Linked DNA regions of Drosophila melanogaster. The protein of the gene in region 2 purifies or fractionates together with the protein of the main gene of each other region. This does not show direct contact. Each region holds a gene or a part of one and is shown on either strand. Other genes may lie near its edges.

Region 1 (3,234 bases), on a different chromosome or scaffold from region 2:
ATCTGCGGCTGTAGATTTGGCTGTGCTAGAGACTGAGACTGTTGAACCTTGAGCGGCGCGGTCTGGCTGACTTTACTTCGCTTCTTGCCTCGGCTGGCATGCGCATGACCAACACCGGGCACAAACGAACCCGTCTCCTTGGCATCGTGCAGCGGTGAACGTTTTGACGTCCGCATCTCGCGATTTCCATATGCATCCTCCTTTTCCGGACGCCTCTGCGATTGTACACTGTAGTCCCCACCGTTGTCTGCGCGCATATCTCGCCCTGCAGCACTCGGTTTTGTGCCTTTGCTGAGCACATCGGAGTACGACATGGGCATGGGCTTCACCTCGGCCACGATTCGCTTTTTGCCTTCGGGTTGGCCAGGCACGGCGACGCTCGACTTGTTGATGGCAGTTGGTGAAACGGTGGCAGTGGCCAAAGGCATTTTCAGAGACTTGGCTGGCTTGGAAGCCGCTGGCAGTGTATTGACGGATTGCGACAGTGGCTCAGGCTGCTGCAGGTTCTGATTAGGAACCTGTGGCTGTTGGGCTATCGAAGTCTCGAGAACGACGTCCATCTCGTTGGCCTCGCCATCAAATTGAATGTAGCTTCCACCAGTCAAATTGGGCGACCAGTTGTTTACAAGGTTGTTAATGAGAAGGTTAGCACTGCTCGACGAGTGATTGACTTGGGACACTGTTGGGGCCTGAGTCTGCGTCTGTTGGGGCTGTCGATGCTGGGCGTCTTGCTGCTGTGCATGTGGTAAAGTCAAAGGATTTGTGGCAAACAGTTCATACAGTGGAGTCGGCTGCGAAGGTGTCGGCGGAGCGGCCTGGTGTTGGTGCTGCAGCTGATGGTGATTAATCGAGGCCATGTTGATATGCGTGAAGAGTGGGGTGCCGGCTTCGCTGACCTGGTTGTCCGGGCAGTGGTACACTTTGAGAAAGTTGCCGGGTCCCACAGGCAGCACGGAGTAGGTCTCTGGCTGGCCTGGCTGACCGGAGTAGGACAGATTGAAGAGATACTCATTGTACATGTGGGGCTGCTGCTGCTGAAGATGGGGCGCAAATGGGGGGCCGGCTAGGTGCGGTGGTGGAGGTGGCCACATCAGCGGGACAGGTGCTTGTCCATGCTGCTGCTGGTGGATCAGATAGTTTTGGGTTTGATGTTGATGCTGCTGCTGTTGCTGTTGCTGCTGTTGGTGGGCCAGGTAGTTGCCCACTTCGTCAGTGTGGGGCAGGACGCGAAAGGGTGCAGACTCAGTGCTGCCCCCTCCAATCTCGTCGTCCTGACGAGTCGCCATGTCCTGCGATGGGGCCTATGCTTTTTGCGCACCAGCTCCGCTCGCCTATTGGAATTTCAAGCGTGCTCCATGTATTCACCGCAGCGAGTCTGTCACGGATGTGCTGCAATCGCAGGTGACAGGTAGTTGGTTTTCTGTGGCCCTAGCCCACTTTTTCACTCCAAACTCTAAATAATTCGCAGAGCGTCCGTGTGTAAGAGTTTTATATCTTTTTATTGCAAACGTCAAATGTAGTGTTGCCAGATGGGTGGAATTCCATTTTCCTAACTGCCCTCGACCAACCCTGGTAGTAACCTATCGAAAGATTTCCCTCCAACGTATTTTCCGAATTGTTGTTAAACTGTTGGATTATTAATCGAAGTTTCCTCAAATAAAAAAACAAATTTCGCCAACTTTTCCATTGCCACCAATCAGCCGTTTTTGAAGATACATATATTGATGAACCCGCTGATCGTGCAGCCCTGGTTAATATTTGTTGTTTTAAACGTTGCAGTCAAATGATTTTTAAACAATTAAAAAAATGCCTTTTGTCCGACCGCTGGTGACCGTGGTGCGGGCCGGGCGGCATAGCTATTCAGCAGGATTACAGCTACAGCAACGTCTTGCAAGGTCCAACCAGATCCTGAATCCGCCAGCGGAGTTCCGAAACTACCTGGTGCTTCAGGAGCACGACCCGGTCTACACAGTCGGACTAAGGACAAAGGACTATACGGCGCAGGATGAAGACCGACTCCGCCGGCTAGGAGCAGACTTCCATCGCACAGATCGCGGTGGCTTGATCACATTTCACGGCCCCGGCCAGTTGGTGGCCTATCCCATTCTGCACCTGGGTCAGTTCGTGCCGAGCATCCGCTGGTACGTGGCGACGTTGGAGCGGATGGTTGTCGAGGCCTGCCACCAGATGGGCATTTCCAGTGCCAAGGCGACCAAGGACACCGGTATCTGGGTGGGTGACAACAAGATCTGTGCCATCGGTATCCACGGCTCGCGTTACGTCACCACGCATGGAATCGGCCTCAATTGCTGCACGGATCTGCAGTGGTTTGAGCACATTGTGCCCTGCGGAATCGAAGGCAAGGGGGTCACCTCGCTCAGCAAAGAGCTGGACAGACATTTTCCTGTCGAGGAGGCCAGTGGCGCACTCCTCAATAGTTTCGCTAAAGTTTTCGAATGCCGCCTTCAGGAACACGCCAAAAAACCAGCAAGTTCTGCTGAAATCGGATAATATGGTTATTTGGATACATATGATGTATAAAGGACCGCCAAGTTTATTTCAACATTTATAATTTAAATTATGCATCAATACATATTTCCTGGCCTTCTGTTATCTCAACTTTTACGAAATGGAAATTTGTAAACTAGATTTATGTATTTCATAAAATATTAAAATAACATTATAACTATATACATATATAGACTCATTGTCAATCGTATTTATCTATTTTTTTTTTTGTCCAAATCTGAATCAAAATCTTCGAAATGTATGCCATACAAGAAAACTCAGCGACACACAGCCAACAAAAAATTTGGCCCGAATCGAAGTTATATCTTACTATAAATTACACTTCAATGGAGATCACATAAATCGAGCTTTATTCAGGTCACACTTTTTGGAGCGCCCATCCGTAGGAATCTTTCCCCGTGCATTCATCTCCACACGAGCCTGTTCCCGCAGCTCTGCCTTCCGCATTCGACGCTCTTTGCGTGACTCCAGAGCATTATTAAAGTACCGATCCCTGAAGTCCTGCGAGGGCGTTGGCACCTGTTTTATGCTGCACAATAAGGGTTCTGTTGGACTATACTCGAAACACTTTTCATAGGTGAGTAGCCGCCTAGCTGTATTCCCAGTCAATTGCTGCTCAGAGTTAGCTATCAGGCTCAGATGCTGATGCTGTGGCAGCATCTTCGGGTCGTAGTCCTCGCTGTGAAAGGGTATCCAGCAGACAAG
Region 2 (7,655 bases):
GCTTACGGTAAGTTGGCTAGCAGGGGTTTGGTAGGCAACTGTTGCAAGTGTACACATTCAATCTAGCATCCTTTTGCTAAAGAAGATGTACAGACTGAAAGCTGTTACACATTCAAAAGGGGCAAATAATGCAGGTAGATACAACAAATAAATAGAATAAGTGACCTTGTATCAACTTAATGTATCATTGAAGCCATATGTTATGAAACTATAACTTTAGAACTTATTATTTAGATGTAGTATTCTCTGTACGTTGGCTAGTAAATGTTGAGTAGGCAACGGTTGCAAGTGAACACATTTGTTCTGGCACCATTTTGCTACTGAAAGTGTACAGATTAGCAACTGATACACAATCGATGATAGCAAATAATGCAAATAGTTCTAATGAAATGAGAGGAATATTTGAGTTTAGACAAGGGGCGTACTTATTATAGCAGCTATATTCAAATGATATTTAAATGATTACTCTGAGACTTTTGTAATTTGCTTGCATACCCTGATTAATTCAGGGAATACATAACATTTTTCCTCAATGTGCTAGTTTTCAATGAAACATTATAAAGTAGATAGTGAAAGCGGATATGACGAGTGATTGTATAGCATGATTTTCGCAGTATACTTTCGGGAAATACATATATTTTACTCCTAGTATGTATGGATACATTTTAGGTCCCATGATAATTAAAATCCACCGCCGGCAAGTGAAAGTAACAAAACAAAAAAGACCTAAGACTTTCACAATTTTCCCGGAAGAGAAGTGAATGCTTACCGAACAAATGCGAATCCGCGGCTCTCACGTGTGTAGCGATCCCTGGGTATGTAGATGTCCCCCACCTCGCCGCACCGCTCGAAGACCCGACGCAGATCCTCCGGCGTGGTGCGATATGTGAGATTGTCGACCTGTAGGCATAATTACACGCGGATTAATTTACATGCTTTTGGAGAGGTTACCTAACCACACAACGTTGCCAGCCGGCCGCCATTTTGTGGGCGATTTAGTCGCATTTTACTTAGCAGATACTTGCCTTAAGCGAGACCATTCCATCGATCCGTGGAGGTGGACGCGCTGCGCCCAATCCCCCGGCACCACCACCGTTGCTCATTGTCTATTTGGATATTTGTTTTACCGCTAAAATGCTAATGCGAATGCTGAAAACGAGCCAAACTCCAGACGATTTTTTCACTACTGTTAAAATGGCGTCTGGCACGACGTTAGAGCTGGAACAACATCGATTGTAATTCGATACCATTGATGATGAGCTTAGAAATGTATTGAAACCCCAAGGCTCACTACACACTTATCAATATTTACAAAACTCGCATTACACTTCTATTATACAAAATAACTAAATTAATAATTATAAAAACTCACTGAAAGTGAATAAAAAATTATTAATGTCTAGTCACACATAAAACAAATACAGTTTGTATTTATATATGTACATGTGGACTACGTTATATTTAGCCTTAAAAAATTATATTAATCAGAACAAAGTACAAAAGCAATATAATTATTTATGTTGAATAATTTTAAAAGTATTAAAAATCTTACTAAAAAAATTTAAAAATATCTTAATACTTTGCCCCAAATCAATTATAGGCCACTGTGACAGCCAGCACATATCGATGCACCGATAACACCGCATACAAGTGGCAACCCTGACTTGATGCGTGGCTTAAAACGTGTAAAATAATAGAAGATTGCTAGTTCCGAGCACTGCATTTAGTGTTCAGGTAGTCGAATCATACCTGCAGATCACCAGGTGGTCACCACTGCCCCAAACAGGCGATAGTCGATCAAATTAAAGGGAATTCGAGTTCAACCCGAGTTGGCCAGGCTAGCAAAGCACAAACAACAAACACAACACCGAGTCACAACAAAAGTGTAGACCACATTGAGCCGAAAGTCTGGCCTAAACCCCCCACAAGCCACCCCCCCGGCCAACAACCATCAAGGCGTGCGTGTGTTGGTGGCATTGCTTTTGCCATTCCCAATTTCCATTACCATAGGCAATCCCAAGAATTCCGAACGACCGCGTGTGTTCTGTGTGAGTGCGGGAGCAGCAAGAAGAAGCAGCTGAAGCAGTTTGTAGAAGGAGGGCGAAAGTGTGTCGTCGCGTGAAAAAAGCGAGAGAGAGATTTTCATCGGAGGAAACCACTGCGGAGGATTACGGACGCACTGCAACGATGGCCGCCCAGGAAAACACGGAGATCAGCACAAAGTTCTCAACGCTGAACGTGAACGCGGTAGAATTTGTGCCCAGTTTCAGTTACAACAGCGTTGTGAATGTAGCTGAGGAGGCGGCGGCAGTAGTGGTTGCAGCGGCTGCGGCCGAGGAGACGGCGGATCCGGGTCCCGCCTCCGGTTCAGCCACGCCAGCCACCACACCCGATTCCGTCGGCAGCGGGGGATCCACAGCGGGAGCAGCTCCACCGCCTCCAACTGCACAGGGGGCGGGGGCAGCAGCACCCTCAGCACAGCCGCCCACATCATCCTCCAATTCCGCATCGCCAGCGCCGGGTTCGCCAGCCACCACGCCTTCAGCAGGAGCAGCGGCGGCGGATCCAACGCCCATCGATGGTCTCAACCCCTCGGACAAAATCGCAAACAATGGTAAATAGAGCTTGCTAGCTACCTAAATACCCCCTGCCAAATACACATGCCCCACGTCCATTGAACTCGCTTCTTCTGTGACGTCAACAAAGAAGCGTGTTATTGTTGCTACCTGCTGGTCGCAAGACCGTTGGCAGAGACACAACAATGGGGAATGGGATAGGGAAAACCCCAAAGATAGGTTGCATTCACCAGGTTCCGTTTAGGTTATTATCGCTGGCCCTAGTACATAACCTCAATCTGCGTCAGCACTGCCGACGTCGGCGTCGCATGTGTTGCTTGACTTCTATTCGAATTGCGGGCATTATTGTGCCGCTAAACAAATGGCTAATCGCTTTCGGCCTGCGCGCAAAAACAGTTCGTCCGGCCAGGGCCCTTTCTTTGGCCGCTTTTCTCGTCGTCGTGTCGCCAGCAGTGGCTCAGCGCAGAGATGCCCAGGAATCACGACCAGAATCACTACAGAGGTGTCACCAAATGGTGAAATAACCGCAAATCAGGTCTAGTTGTTTTCTAGAAACCAGCTAATGGTTGGGAATTAATCATGCACTTTGACATTTTTGCTTTAAACAAATGTAGGTACATACATTTAAAAATACTTGTTGAATCTATATGTACATGAACATCAAACAATCCACGCCTCGCTGTGATCTTGGGATTTGGGATTTGTGAAAACTTTCGTCCGAATAGTATTCTTATATTCTTAATCGTCGTTCAGTATTTTGAGTTTCAAGAATTGGGATATTTAAGAGTTAAGCCATGAAAATTTTACACGAATATGCTAATATAAATATTCTAGCCTTGTGTATTTTTCAATTCTATAAACTTGTTCATAATTTTAATATTCTGAAAATTTCATAGTTAGAAAACACTTTCTTGTTTAGCTTTGTTGATTTCTCGATGTAACGACTTATCACTGTCACTTGTTAAACTGTTAACAATCACGGCGCATCTCTGGTGGCCACTCACCTACTTGCCATTCGCCGGGCGACGTTGACAAGCAGCTGTTTGTGCTGCCATTTTACTGCCGCTTCGCTTTGTGGTGTCGTTTATTTGGCCATTGCCTTGTCCCCTTCTTCCGCACCCACACTCGCAAATGCTTGCCCCCCAATTCTTGTGTTTTGGACACGTTTACTCTTTTGTCAGCCATTCATTGGAGCCTACGCTGCGCCCAGCTTCGACTGGCGGTGTGGACTGGAATGGAATGGGCATGGGAATGGGAATGGCTCACTCGTCGTTATCGCAGCGACTCCAATGTGGCGACTTTTGTAGTTGCTTGGCCCGAATGGAAGCGCTTAGTGCAGCTCGCCGGCGGTTGAAACCGCTTCGAACTTGATTACATGGCGTTTGGCTGTGCGGCGCGCTTGCCAAAGCGCCGAAAAAAAATAGCATTTGCTGTTGGCTCTTACACTTTGGCGCGATCGAAGCTCGTTTCTCCGGCTATATCTACATCCGCTCCTAGTTCCGAAATCCGATTAGAATTGAGTTGTATGCATCGGAATCATGAGTAAGGGCGCCGGATCTCGCTACATTTACTCGTTTTCGCAGTGGAGAAAAAGTTAGTAATCGTGGAGTTGGGATACCATTCGTTACAGCCCATCTCCAGACGGTCAAATGATCCTCCGACATTTACGTCAAAGGTTCGGGAACTACTATTAACCAAGCACGTTGACACCAGCACAGAACAGCACTCCACCAATCCAATCCCGCACATGACTCATCCGCCCGGGTGGCTAGAGTCAGCGATTAGCAATTAGCATGTGGCCGCCAGGTCAAACACGGCGAGTGCATGAGTGGTAGTACGAAGTATATAATTGGTGAAGTGATAGCTCAACTTCCCTGAGTTTAAATCATCTGAAGTGCTATAAGTTTCTAACAAACCGACCTAAATTAAAAAGAAACTATTTACACAGTTGTTTCATGTGCAAAAATAAAAGGCATGACATTTGCATTTTTATTTTTGTGCATAAAAAGAGACATGTTTGCATTTACTAAATGTCGCTCAAAATACAAAGGTTTCGATATTGTGAAATAGAGAAAGTTAAAGTGAATTTTACTCCCATCACTAAAGTTTCTTTAAACTATTACGATGATGTGGACAATTCCAAAAATAAAAAAAATTCATTGCTTTATTCGGTTTTTAACTGGATTGATCTGGACAAACCGACACTATTTTGAACAATTTTTAAAATTACTAGTTTTCCCAAGATTGTCTAATGTAAATAAATTATATATTTGCGCGATAACAATTTTAGTAATCGATAGAAAATAAACAACAAACAATTATATATTCCTCAACAAGCCATATTATTTTCACCACCAAGCACAGTAGAATCGCCTTGTAAATGTCTCGACTAATGACCTTTTATTTGGTTTTTTTTTATTTGCTTAGAAACCGATCCTGCTGACAGCTGGGATGTGGACGATGCAGTGATCACGCCCGAGGATGAGGAGGTGGAAGATGCTGAGTTCACGGAGGGCGAGGCCACGCCGAAGGTGTCCAAGAAGAAGGTGGTTAAGGTGGAGGAAAATAGGAGCAAGCGTGAGCACGTGAATGTTGTGTTCATTGGCCATGTTGGTGAGTTATCATTACTTATAAACATATGTCCCACCAAAAGCCATTATTAACATTCGCACTTTGCTTTGGGTAGATGCTGGCAAATCAACAATTGGCGGACAGATCATGTCGCTCACGGGCATGGTGGACAAGCGAACACTGGAGAAGTACGAGCGGGAGGCACGTGAGAAGTCGCGTGAGAGTTGGTACTTGTCCTGGGCGCTGGACACCAACCAGGAGGAACGCGACAAGGGCAAGACCGTCGAGGTGGGACGAGCCTTCTTCGAAACGGACCGAAAGCATTTCACTATCCTCGACGCACCCGGTCACAAGAGCTTCGTGCCTAACATGATCGGTGGCGCGGCGCAGGCCGATCTCGCAGTGCTGGTCATCTCGGCGCGAAAGGGTGAATTCGAGACGGGCTTCGATCGCGGCGGCCAGACCCGAGAACATGCCATGTTGGCCAAGACCGCCGGCGTTAAGCATCTGGTCGTGCTGGTCAACAAAATGGATGACCCAACGGTCAATTGGGATCAGACGCGCTACAACGAATGCAAAGACAAGATACTACCATACCTCAAGAAGCTGGGCTTCAACCCGGCCAAGGACCTTACCTTTATGCCTTGCTCGGGCCTCAGCGGATACGGGCTGAAAGACCAAATCCCGGAGACGCTCTGCCCCTGGTACCGGGGACCCGCCTTCATTCCGTTCATTGACGAGCTGCCCTCGCTCAACCGCAAGTCGGACGGGCCTTTCATCATGCCAATTGTGGACAAGTACAAGGATATGGGCACCGTGGTGATGGGCAAGGTTGAGTCCGGAACAGCGCGCAAGGGTCAAAACCTGTTAGTGATGCCAAATAGGGTAAGTTTATACACTTTGCAATCAGCTGAATATTTGAAACTAAGCTTGTTTTTCACATAGACGCAAGTGGCGGTGGATCAGTTGTTCTCGGACGACTTTGAAGTCACTTCTGTTGGTCCCGGCGAGAACGTCAAGATTAAGCTGAAAGTGAGTACATGATTCTTTTGTTATACCCTTGGATTATTTTAATTGATTCTTAAACTTTTTTTTAGGGTATTGAGGAGGAGGATGTCTCGCCCGGTTTTGTTCTCTGCGATGCAGCCAATCCCATCAAGACGGGAAAAATCTTTGATGCTCAGGTCGTAATTTTAGAACACAAATCAATTATCTGTGCGGGTTACTCGGCTGTCATGCACATACACTGTGCAGCCGAAGAAGTCACAGTTAAGGTAAGTTTTAGGTCTATAATTCCCATACATTAGCCAGATACTGAATATGTATTATTTTTCAATAGGCCCTCATCTGTTTGGTCGACAAAAAGTCTGGTGACAAATCAAAAACACGTCCACGGTTCGTTAAGCAGGATCAGGTTGCAATTATGCGAATCGAGTGCTCCGGAATGATTTGCCTTGAACAATTTAAGCTATTCCCTCAAATGGGCCGTTTTACGCTCAGAGATGAAAGTAAGTCGATTGGTGACTCGGGAGATCCCCGTCTAATTATCATTTCTATCTTTCAGACAAAACCATTGCCATTGGCAAGGTGCTGAAGGTGGTCGAATAAATTGAGCCTAGCTAAATTCGAGCGCCCGCCTTTCATTGCGATTTTTGAGATAGCATTGCAAGCCCGACGAGAGAACACAGCCACAGCCACAACAACAGCAACGCCACGCCACGCTTTCTTCACATTTGACAAATCAACAAAAACAGTACTCAGCATCGCTCGAGCTCTCACTCACATTACTTTCAACCAGCAATAGCAATCGATTATAGAATCCAGATCGATTCAAAACGGAACGGAACGGCAATGTAGGCAGGCGAAAAGTTAATTTACAACAAGGACGAGTTCGGAGATAGAAACAGAAATGCATTATATACGAATTATAAACTATATTATGTAAAACTAAGCAGCAAAATCGGAGGCAGCGAATGCGAAACAAGATGAACTATTTATATATGTATACAAAACAAACAACTCACACGTATATATGCAAAGAGAGAGAAAGAGTTGAAGAAGAGGAGTTGCATTGATAACGATTTTGTTTGTTGAGCCCATCTCGCAAGGATATTGAGCACTTGTCGCAGTCGTCGTTTTCTTTTGGTTTACTATTTTGTATAAACTGTAAGCATTAAATAGCCTACACGTACATGCCTAAATCGCGCGCAATACGTGAATTTCTTTAAAATACTAAAACTAAAGCTGCAAGCTACCCAATTTTTGTATTTGTAAGCGAAAGTACGATCCCGAGAATCCTTTCCCCATCCATCTTCCTGTATGCGCCTTTAAATTGCAAATTTGTTAAATACCCTGCAAAATGCATTAAGATATTTCTGCTCTTCTTTTTAAATGATATAATCTATATGCTTTAATTTAAGTTTAAGCTTAAAGAACATGGAGTAAAGTCTGTAAAAGCAGAACGGAGAAAATTCAAATTTACGGAAACACCTAATTGTTAATCATTTA

Evidence for each region.
Region 1: the proteins of eRF3 (region 2) and Lipt2 purify together in Drosophila melanogaster (affinity purification with mass spectrometry, with the first as the bait; one large-scale study listed by BioGRID). This does not show direct contact.

What each region holds. Positions count from the first base shown.
Region 1 is NT_033777.3:4,435,680-4,438,913, reverse strand, and holds Lipt2 (Lipoyl(octanoyl) transferase 2), read left to right. Parts: upstream 1-1,584; 5' UTR 1,585-1,806; coding exon 1,807-2,511; 3' UTR 2,512-2,692; downstream 2,693-3,234. Other genes in the region: CG14650 (uncharacterized protein), read right to left, coding at 1-1,286; CG1074 (uncharacterized protein), read right to left, coding at 2,863-3,234. UniProt on the Drosophila melanogaster protein: Catalyzes the transfer of endogenously produced octanoic acid from octanoyl-acyl-carrier-protein onto the lipoyl domains of lipoate-dependent enzymes. Lipoyl-ACP can also act as a substrate although octanoyl-ACP is likely to be the physiological substrate.
Region 2 is NT_033779.5:12,432,810-12,440,464, forward strand, and holds the start of eRF3 (eukaryotic translation release factor 3), read left to right. Parts: upstream 1-1,642; 5' UTR 1,643-2,187; coding exon 2,188-2,614; intron 2,615-3,880; exon of another isoform or gene 3,881-4,114; coding exon of another isoform or gene 4,115-4,169; intron 4,170-5,003; coding exon 5,004-5,189; intron 5,190-5,262; coding exon 5,263-6,032; intron 6,033-6,092; coding exon 6,093-6,179; intron 6,180-6,244; coding exon 6,245-6,421; intron 6,422-6,486; coding exon 6,487-6,655; intron 6,656-6,711; coding exon 6,712-6,755; 3' UTR 6,756-7,655. Other genes in the region: SR family splicing factor SC35, read right to left, coding at 770-900, 1,026-1,103.